Linked DNA regions of Sus scrofa. The protein of the gene in region 1 interacts with the protein of each later gene in a biochemical or structural test. Links are inferred from orthologs where the notes say so. Each region holds a gene or a part of one and is shown on either strand. Other genes may lie near its edges. The genes, in order: SERPINF2 and ELANE.

Region 1 (4,396 bases):
TGTTGCTCCGGGCCAGCAGGAAGCAGGAGGGAGATCTGGGGGAAAGCATCGCTGCCCCCACTTCTCCCCAGCTCTGCCCTCATTTTCCATATGGGGACAGGACGCTCCGGGAAGGGGACAGGAGACCCCCTGCCTGGCCAGTCCCCAGCCACGGTCCCCCCTTGCCGGGCTCGCTGTGCCCCTATGCCGTGAGGACAGGGAAGCCACCCCAGTCCAGGACACTGATGGTGCTTGGACTCCAGCCTCTAAGGAGGACTGGCCGTGGTCCAGGAGTTAAGGGGCTTGGGCTGGGGTGTAAGTGTCCCCCCAGCCAGTCCCTGCCCAGTGTGGGACCATGAGGGGACGTGGGCAAGACCAAAGGCGGGAAGATGCACAGGGCCAGGGGGTGCCTGCCCACCCGTCACCACAGTGTTTGTGCCTTGAGCTGATGAGGCAGCCTCTGGGGTCCAGAATCCCTGGGGGAGCGGGTCCAACACCCTGAAAGAAGGAGCAAGAAGAGTCATCTCTGCACCTCAGGTCTCCCTCCGCCAGGGGACAGGAAGACCCGGGCACTCAGAGATGATGTCTGAGGCCGGGCCCCTGCTGCCTTCTCGCTATTTGCAATAGATGTAAATATGATCAATAAACCTTTGGAAGAGCCAGGGAGCGGGGCGAGGCTTTTCTTGATGGCGGGGTTGGGGTGGGGAGAAGTTGAGACCCTGCAGCTTCCAGGACAGCGAGGGAGGGGAAAGTAGGGCCCGAGCTGGGGAGACAGCCTGATTGCTGCTCCTCAGGTGGTGCAGGGTTCAGGGCTTCTGGTTCGCGCAGCCCAGGCCAGTTTCCAGAACCCTCACCCTTGGGAAGGGTAAGGAGGCATTGCTCTGATGAGGTGGGGTCCTGGGAGGTTGGGTGCTTCTCTTCCCACCCAGGCAGAAGGCAGCCAACCAGGATCCTGGGCCTGGGGAGGGGGGGAATGGGCGCCCTATCCTGGGTTCCCTGCCGAGTGAGTCTCTTGAAGCTTCTCCTTCCCTCCTCTGGTGGCGTGGGGGGTGGGGTGGGGGGCAGGGGTGTGGGAGAGGAAAGGGGGAAAGGAAAGGACCTTGGAAGTAGGAAGCTGAATGTCACTCTGAGCCTAGCTGTGTGTCCGTGGGCAGGTCACACATCTCCGAGCCTGACCAAAGCGCGGATAACCTCCCACTTCATGGGGTCACCGGCAGGCCCCCGTGCTTCCTGCTCTGCCCTCCACCTGAGGACAGCCTCCTCGACTGTCTCCTGAACCCCCTTTCTCACGGCTCAGGTGGGACCCAGATCCACAGGGGTTCCAGGTGACCCAGTATTAGATGCCTTGGTGGGAAAGGGGCTTCTGGCCCCAGCACCAATGTTTAACCGGATGTGCAGGTCAATGTTTACCAGAAGAGAAAGCACTCGGAACTGGGTTGGCTGAGAGCAAAGGTCCTGGTGGGAGGGGAGGGCTCGGCTGGGCGGCTGGAGCCCGGGCAGAGCGTGGGGAGCACCCAAGTGGGGCCAGAGGGACATCGTGTGCAGCAGCGAGGAGCCCGCAGAGGTACAGGGGTGGGAAGGCTCGGCCTGGAGCTGCCCACCTGCCGAGGGGGTCTGGGCTGAGTTTATTCAGGGGGGCCTGTCACTTCCCAGCCTCCTGGGGAGAGGAGGAGCCAAGGTGGGGGTTCTGGTGGGGGGAGTCTCTCTGGGACGTGAAAATCTGAGGCCTTTTCTTGCCAGGAAGATTCAAAAGCCTGGGTTGGAGATCAGGGCCCCCGGCCCAGGGATCACTGTGTGGGCTGGGCTGGGGGGAGAGGATGCTCCAGAACAGGCCCGGAGCTGGGTGTGGGGTGGGCGTGTGTGAGACCTGCTCTGAGGCCAGACAGAGACCTGCCCATCCCCACCCGCCAGCCTGGCTTCCCGGAGCCAGCCTGGGGCAGAGTTGGGGGGCGAGGCCCATGTTTTCCCTTAAGTCCAAAGGTGGCTCTGGCCAGTCATTCATTGGGCTCTGCTGTTGGGTCAACAAGGCCAGTCTCTGGCCCAGCCCACCACCCCTGCTGAGAGCACCGTCTCGTCCACCCCTGTGGGCAAGACCAGACTCACCAGAAAAGGTGGGCTGATGGGCAGCTGGTTGGATAGGAGCTCCACGGAGGGAGCCCCAGTACAGAGGAGGCTTCGGGCCAGGCCTCCCGGAAGAGAAGCCTTGAACTAGGCTGACTGTACCCACTACTGAGTGCCAGGCCATGCGGTCAGGGCTCACAAAGACTGATGATGTTGGTTCCTGTAAGACATGTGGCTGGAGGCAGGGACTTTCGCCACCATTTACCAGATAAGGCAGAGCCCAGAGGGGTTGAGGAAGACGTCCTTGGTCCTCTGCCAAGAGGCACAGCCTGGATTCAAACCCAGGTCTGTGGGAGTTCCCGTCGTGGCTCAGCAGAAGCGGAATCCAACTAGTATGCACAAGGATGCGGCTTCGATCCCTGGCCTCGATCAGTGGGTTGGGGATCCCGCGTAGCTGTGGCTGTGGCTGTGGCCGACAGCTGTAGCTCGGATTAGGCCCCTAGCCTGGGAAATTCCATTTGCCGAGGGTACAGCTCTAAAAAAAAAAAGCAAAACAACAACAAAACACCCCGGTCTGACTCATGACACCAAGCCTTGAAGGATGACTTTCTGGTTTGGGTGGTGTTTTCCCCTATCAACCAAAACATTTTCAGTGGATGAAATATGAAAAACCAGGAAGTGCAAAGGGGAAAAAGCAGTTCTGGGGGAGGGGTTCCAGGCAATTCACCTCGGAGCGGAGAATCTCTGCTTGTGCCCCGGTCGTGTGCGCAGCAGCTGCCGCTGTTCCCTCCGTGCACGTGTGCGTGGGATGCCCAGTGGGTGGGGGCGTGGCATGAACAGAGGCTTCCTGTCCTGCTCAGGAACATGGCACTGCTCTCGGGGCTCCTGGTGCTCAGCTTGTTCTGCCTGCACGTGGTGAGCCTGGGCCGAGGTCTGGGGGAGGCAGGGAGGCGGCTGGGGAAGAGGCCAGGGGTCTGGGGGAAAGGGGAGGGGGTGTGGGGAGGAGAGAGGGCTTGGCTCGAGGGGGGTCCCCCTCCTTTCCTCATCCCCTTCTCCACAGCTCCCTCCTGTGAGCGCCATGGACCCCTTGGGCCTGCAGGTACTGGGGGTGAGAGGTGTGATGGGGGAAGGCCCAAGGGGCCTCGCCTGTGGCTTGTGCGGGGTGGGGCGAGTCCTGTGCGTTGCTCTTCATCCGCTCCCTCCTTTCTTCAGCTGATGATCGGGCAGGGCCAGGAGAAGCTGTCCCCTCTTTCCCTCCTCGAGTTGGACAACCAGGTACAAGCAGGTGGGGCTGGGGAAGAGTGGGGGGGCCTGGGGGAGGAGGGCCGATCGTCAAGGGCCAGGAACCGGGTGAGGGGTGTGGCGCTGAGGCCTGAGCGAGGGGTGGGAGCGACCAGGGAAGGGGACCTAGTGCCTAGAATGCCACTGCCCCTGCGACTCTCCCTCTTGAGTCTGGACTGGGACGAGGCCCTGCTCTTCCTGGCACAGGGGGTTTGGGGGAGATCAATGCAAAACCCGGGTCAGCCCCTTGACTCCACTGACCCCCAACCTGTCCCTGCAGGAGCATGGTGGCCACACTGCCCTGAACGAGGCCCCAGGAGAATGCAAGGGGACCCCAACCCCGGAGCAGACCCGCAGGTTGGCCCAGGCCATGATGGCCTTCACCAGGGACCTCTTCTCCCTGGTGGCCCGAAGCTCCACCAGGCCCAACCTCGTCCTGTCGCCTCTGAGTGTGGCCCTGGCACTGTCTCACCTGGCACTAGGTACTGTGGCAGCACCTGTCCAAACCAGCAGGGCCGGGAGCCAGGGGAACTCGCTACCCCAGAGTGTACTAGGGGGCACTTCCTCCATCAGGGTCACGTGGATATTTGGTAAAAATGCAGACCCCGGTTTCTGAATCAGGGCCCTGGGGCTGGGGGCTGGGATGAGCTTCTGGTGATTTTATGCAAGAGCTTGCTAGCCCCAGTGTGTCCTTTGGGCTGGAGGGTTTCCCTGTGGGACACTGACATCCAGAGAGGGAAGGTAACGAGATGCGCTTGCCCAGATGGGCGGCAGCAGAGATGGAGGTAAAACTCGGGGGTCCTGGCCCTCCAACCTGTTCAGGATTTGGGAGGAGAAAGTGTGGTCTCATGAGTCAGCTCACCGTAGATATTCTAGAGAGGCTGGAGAGGGCAGAGGGGATGGGAGGGAACCCCCAGCCTGAGCCACAGCTGCCGTGTGCCCTCCAGGTGCTCAGAACCAAACGCTGCAGAGGCTGCAGCAGGTGCTGCATGCAGACTCAGGGCCCTGCCTCCCCTACCTGCTCAGCCGCCTCTGCCAGGATCTGGGCCCTGGGGCTTTCCGACTGGCTGCCAGA
Region 2 (4,567 bases), on another chromosome or scaffold:
TGGAGTATACAGGTGGTGCTCAATAGAAGCAGCTTTGGTTAAATATCCCTGCCTGAAGCGCATCCCCCAAAGTCTGGACCTCCTCCATCCTGCCCCACCCCAAGATTGGAAACAGGTTGTGTATGCAGCAGGCGTTTAACAAGTGCTCTATGGGATCCTGCTGTATAGCACTGGGAATTATATCTAGCCACTTACAATGGAGCATGATAATGAGAAAAAAGTATGTATATATGTTATGTGTAACTGTCAACTTGATGTACAGTAGAAAATTGACAGAACACTGTAAACCAGCTATGATGGAAAAAATAAAAATCATCATTGAAAAAATAAATAACATGTGCTCTATGGTGGCTGTAACTCAATCGAGAAGGAAGGGAGCTGAGACGGGCTGATGTGCCTCAGCCCAGGGGAGGGACGAAGGGTGGACACTGAGCGTCTGCTGTGTACTGGAGAGAGATGGGGGTTCACCTGCCTGTGGCCACACACCAAGGGGGCCCAGGGACAAACTGGACTTCAGCCCCAGCCTGCTTCTGGGCATCCCTGGGTGCCCCCGCCTGCCTGTTTCTGCAGATGGATCCGTTGGTTCCCTCCCCTGAACCCTGCTCCAAGCCAGGAGAACGTTGCTTCTTGCGACAGCCTTGGCTATGGCCGTTGCAGCTGGAGCAGCCGCCGGGGGGAGGTGGGAAGGGGAACAGGGGCCCCTGGGCTGGGGACTGGCCCTGACGGACCCCATCTCTACTGTTGGCTTAAGTTCTTCCAAGGTCTGGCCAAAGCTCTCAAACTTGGATGGAGAGCCATGGTCCAGCTGCCAGGCCTGGGTGGGAATTTTTTTTCCACTGCCTCAGGCTGGAAGTGGCTTCAGAGAAGCTCAAAGCAGGGGGTGGGGGTGTCCCAGAACCTCTGAGGGCCACCAGAGACTGAGCCTTGGGTGGCAGTGAGTTCCCTGTTAGGAGCCACAACCAAAGAAAAGATGGAAATCAGGCCCCAAGAGAGAGACCCAAGGCTGGAAGAGGAGGTAGCAAGTTACCTTCCTGCTGTGACCTGTGGACATCTGAGTTTGAACCCCAGTTCCCCCACCACATCACTGGGTAGGTGGTTTGCAGGGGCGGAGGGGGTGGGGATGGTGGCTCACTGTGCCTCAGTTTCCCCCTCTTAAATGGGGACCCAGCAGGCCCTGCCATGCCTCCCAAATGTCAGGACAGTGCTGGGGGGCTGCCATTATTACAGGGACCTGGGTAAACCAAGGCACGTGGGCATCCCAGCCAAGTCCTTTGGGCCTAGGTTGGGGAGATTTAGCAAAAACACAGGAAGCTCATTAATTCTGAATGTTGGAAAGATAAAGACTGACTTTATATAGATCAGTATATGCTGTGCAATATTTGGGATATACTTACACTTAAAAAAAAAAAAAGTTTATCTGACATTCCAATTGTATTGTGCGTCCTGAGTTTTATCTGGTGACCTTCTGGAGCCAGCCTGACCCCCTGCTCCCGTCCTCCTCCCGGATTCTTCCCACCACTCCCTCATCCCCCATATCCCCTGCACTGGGAGAGGGCGGAGAGGAAGTGGGGGCACCTGGCCCCACCATGGGGCAACCTCAACGGCCTCGAGGCAGGGGGGTTATAAGAGGGGCAAGGGGATTCCAAGAGCAGAGTCACTGCTGCCCCAGCCCAATCATGACCCAGAGCTGCAGACCCTCCAGCCCTGCCCTGGCCCCGGTCCTACTGACCCTGCTGCTGGGCGGTGAGTGGGGCCATGCAGGTCTCCTAAGGGCATCCAGTCCTGCCTCTCCTCTTACTCTGCACCTTCTTGGTCCCTCATCCTCATGGGGAGTGACAGTTGGGGTGAGGTGGGAAGGTGGGGGTCTCTAGGCACCCCCCGGGGACTCGAAGGTGGGAAGGTGGGGTCTCTAGGCACCCCCCCGGGACTCGAAGGTGGGAAGGTGGGGGTCTCTAGGCACCCTCCGGGGACTCGAAGTGGGTGAAGTCTAAAGCTCTAGCTGCGCCCTGCAGGGGGACCATGCAGGCCACTCCCCTCTAGGGACAGGGTGGCTGCCTTGTGGGGGTTCACTGGCCGACTGACCTTGGCGGGGCTCCTCCGCGCGGCTCACCGCCCCCACCGCCTGCGCCCCCAGGCCCCGCGCTGGCCTCGGAAATCGTGGGGGGCCGGCCGGCCAGGCCACATGCATGGCCCTTCATGGCGTCCCTGCAGCGGCGCGGAAGCCACTTCTGCGGCGGCACCCTCATAGCGCGGAACTTCGTCCTGTCGGCCGCGCACTGTCTGAACGGCTTGTGAGTGTACCCCCACCCCCGCAACCTCAGTTTCCAGTTTTCGCGGGGCCGGGGCTGGGGGCCTCGGCCGAGGTGCGCGGCTCTATGGGACCCCTGCGCCCGCACGGGTGACGACTCAATCGCCTCCTCCTGCCCCAGAAACTTTCGGTCCGTGCGCGTGGTTCTGGGGGCACACAACCTGCGACGGGGCGAGTCCACCAGGCAGAAGTTCAGAATCCAGCGGGTCTTTGAAAACGGCTTCGACCCCATGACCCTGCGGAACGACATTGTGGTTCTCCAGGTGCGAGGCGCGGGTGGGGAAGAACTGGCAGGTGCAAAGGCCCAGCTTAGTTTGGGGAGGGCGGAGCATGGGCAGGAGACTGGGGACACGGTGAGGACAGGCCTGGTGTCCCATCTCTCTGTGCTTCAGTCTTCCCCTCTGTGAGACGGAAATAAGTCAGATGCCAGGACAGCAGGGAAGCTCTGAGCAACTGTCAATCAATAAGGATAGTATTTCTGGAGCCCACAGGGATGAGGCGCAGGGACCTCTTGGTCCGTGGAAATAGGGTCAAAATTCTCCACGTTCATGTGAATAGGAGACTGGAGGGAGAGAACTGTCCTTCCCCACTGCTTGAATAGCTATGGTTATTTTCTGTAAAGTTCTAGAACAATGGCTTTATTGCTGGTGGTGTTACCCATAGTTTTGTTTTCTTGAGTACCTACTGTTTACTGGACTCAAAACATGTCTGGGGATGCCCTGGGTCACAGTGGCTGCTCGCACTTTACAAACAGGAAAGGGTGGGAACCATCCTGCAGGGTGGATATCTGGCTCTCAGATATCCCAGGACCATGGTGGAGCCCTGGGTGGGGGAAAACTTGGGGCCCAGAAAGATGAAGGTTGTTGTTCACTGCCTCCTGTGACCTGCCACTGCTCTGTACAACCTGCTGCAGCTCAACAGATTTGCCTTCATCAATAGCAACGTGCAGGTGGCCCAGCTACCTGCTCAGGACCAAGGCGTGGGGGAAGGGGTGCGATGTCTGGCCATGGGCTGGGGCCAGCTGGGCACGAACCGGCCACCGCCCCGAGTCCTGCAGCAGCTCAATGTGACTGTGGTGACAGCCCTCTGCCGCCCCACCAATGTGTGCACCCTGGTACCAGGCCGGCAGGCTGGCATCTGCTTTGTACGTATCTTGCGTTCCCACAACCCACCCCTTGCTCCCACCCAGGCTGCAGCAACCAAGACCCCTGGAAGAACTTCCAGCTCCTGAAGGGCAGTGGGTGGGGATGTTAGGGTGGGGCCTGAAAGCCCAGCCTCCCAAACTTGTCTGCTTCCACAGGGGGACTCCGGCGGGCCCTTGGTCTGCAATGGGCTGGTCCAGGGGATAGATTCCTTCATCCGGGGGGGCTGTGGCTCTGGGCTCTTCCCAGACACCTTTGCCTCCACCGCCAAGTTTGCAGACTGGATCAACTCCATTATCCGACGCTATGGTGATAATGACAGCCCGCCTCTCCACCCCAGGATCCCTGTGGGCAGGACCCTCTAGAAAGGCGGCCCCTGTTACCCCACTCCCCCCGGCTGGGCTCTTCCCATGCAGCATCATGCAGCATCTGACACAATAAAAACCCTGTTTTGTAGAATGTGCCTGGGTGTTTGTTGGTTGTGCAACTGAGTGTCAGAAGTCCTCAGGTGAATGTCTTGAGCATGTCACAAGTACGCTGCTACCAAGTAGCAGCAAATTTAGTGCACCAAGATAAAAAGTCCCTTCCTCATACTTCACTAAAGGATACCAGTAGCCGTTTCTGGCTTCCCCTCCTATAAAATGTCATTAGACTCTTGTTGCAGGTGGCAAGAATGCAAAGCACTATAGCAGGTGTTCATTCTGAGTCACAAGGATCATTCTGAATCTTTGCAATCTTCACTCATCTGTTTCTGGCTCCAGCCCCTAAAGTAGTTCTTATATAAGTGCCTTGTTTTACAGGCGAGGAAGTAGAGATGCAAAGAACTGTAAAGTCATGCTCCAGGGCCTGGGTTCGAGTCCCAGCTCTGTGACTTTGGGCAAATTGCTCACTGTTTCTCTGATTCTCAGTTCCCCATGGGGAAGACTGAGGCACTGTCTGGGGAGGACCCAATCAGGGGTTGGGGTCCAGGCCAGTCTCGGCCTCACTGGGTACGGAAACAATCCTTCCTCCACTTCCCCAACCTTTTGCCTTGGGACACCTCAGGGTCTTAACTAGTGCTGTTCCCTCTGCCTTCCAGCTTCTCCCTAAGGTTGTCCTCAGAACACCTCTCCCCACA

Evidence for each region.
Region 2: of the proteins of SERPINF2 (region 1) and ELANE, one has a biochemical effect on the other in vitro, tested with the Homo sapiens proteins (2 studies listed by BioGRID). The link is inferred for Sus scrofa from reciprocal best matches to the Homo sapiens genes SERPINF2 and ELANE.

What each region holds. Positions count from the first base shown.
Region 1 is NC_010454.4:47,933,140-47,937,535, forward strand, and holds the start of SERPINF2 (alpha-2-antiplasmin), read left to right. Parts: upstream 1-1,411; 5' UTR 1,412-1,543; intron 1,544-2,900; 5' UTR 2,901-2,904; coding exon 2,905-2,955; intron 2,956-3,100; coding exon 3,101-3,139; intron 3,140-3,252; coding exon 3,253-3,315; intron 3,316-3,601; coding exon 3,602-3,803; intron 3,804-4,268; coding exon 4,269-4,396.
Region 2 is NC_010444.4:77,513,111-77,517,677, reverse strand, and holds ELANE (neutrophil elastase), read left to right. Parts: upstream 1-1,559; 5' UTR 1,560-1,586; coding exon 1,587-1,743; exon of another isoform or gene 1,744-2,134; coding exon 2,135-2,291; exon of another isoform or gene 2,292-2,429; coding exon 2,430-2,571; exon of another isoform or gene 2,572-2,709; intron 2,710-3,221; coding exon 3,222-3,452; intron 3,453-3,608; coding exon 3,609-3,815; 3' UTR 3,816-3,909; downstream 3,910-4,567. UniProt on the Homo sapiens protein: Serine protease that modifies the functions of natural killer cells, monocytes and granulocytes. Inhibits C5a-dependent neutrophil enzyme release and chemotaxis. Promotes cleavage of GSDMB, thereby inhibiting pyroptosis. Promotes blood coagulation.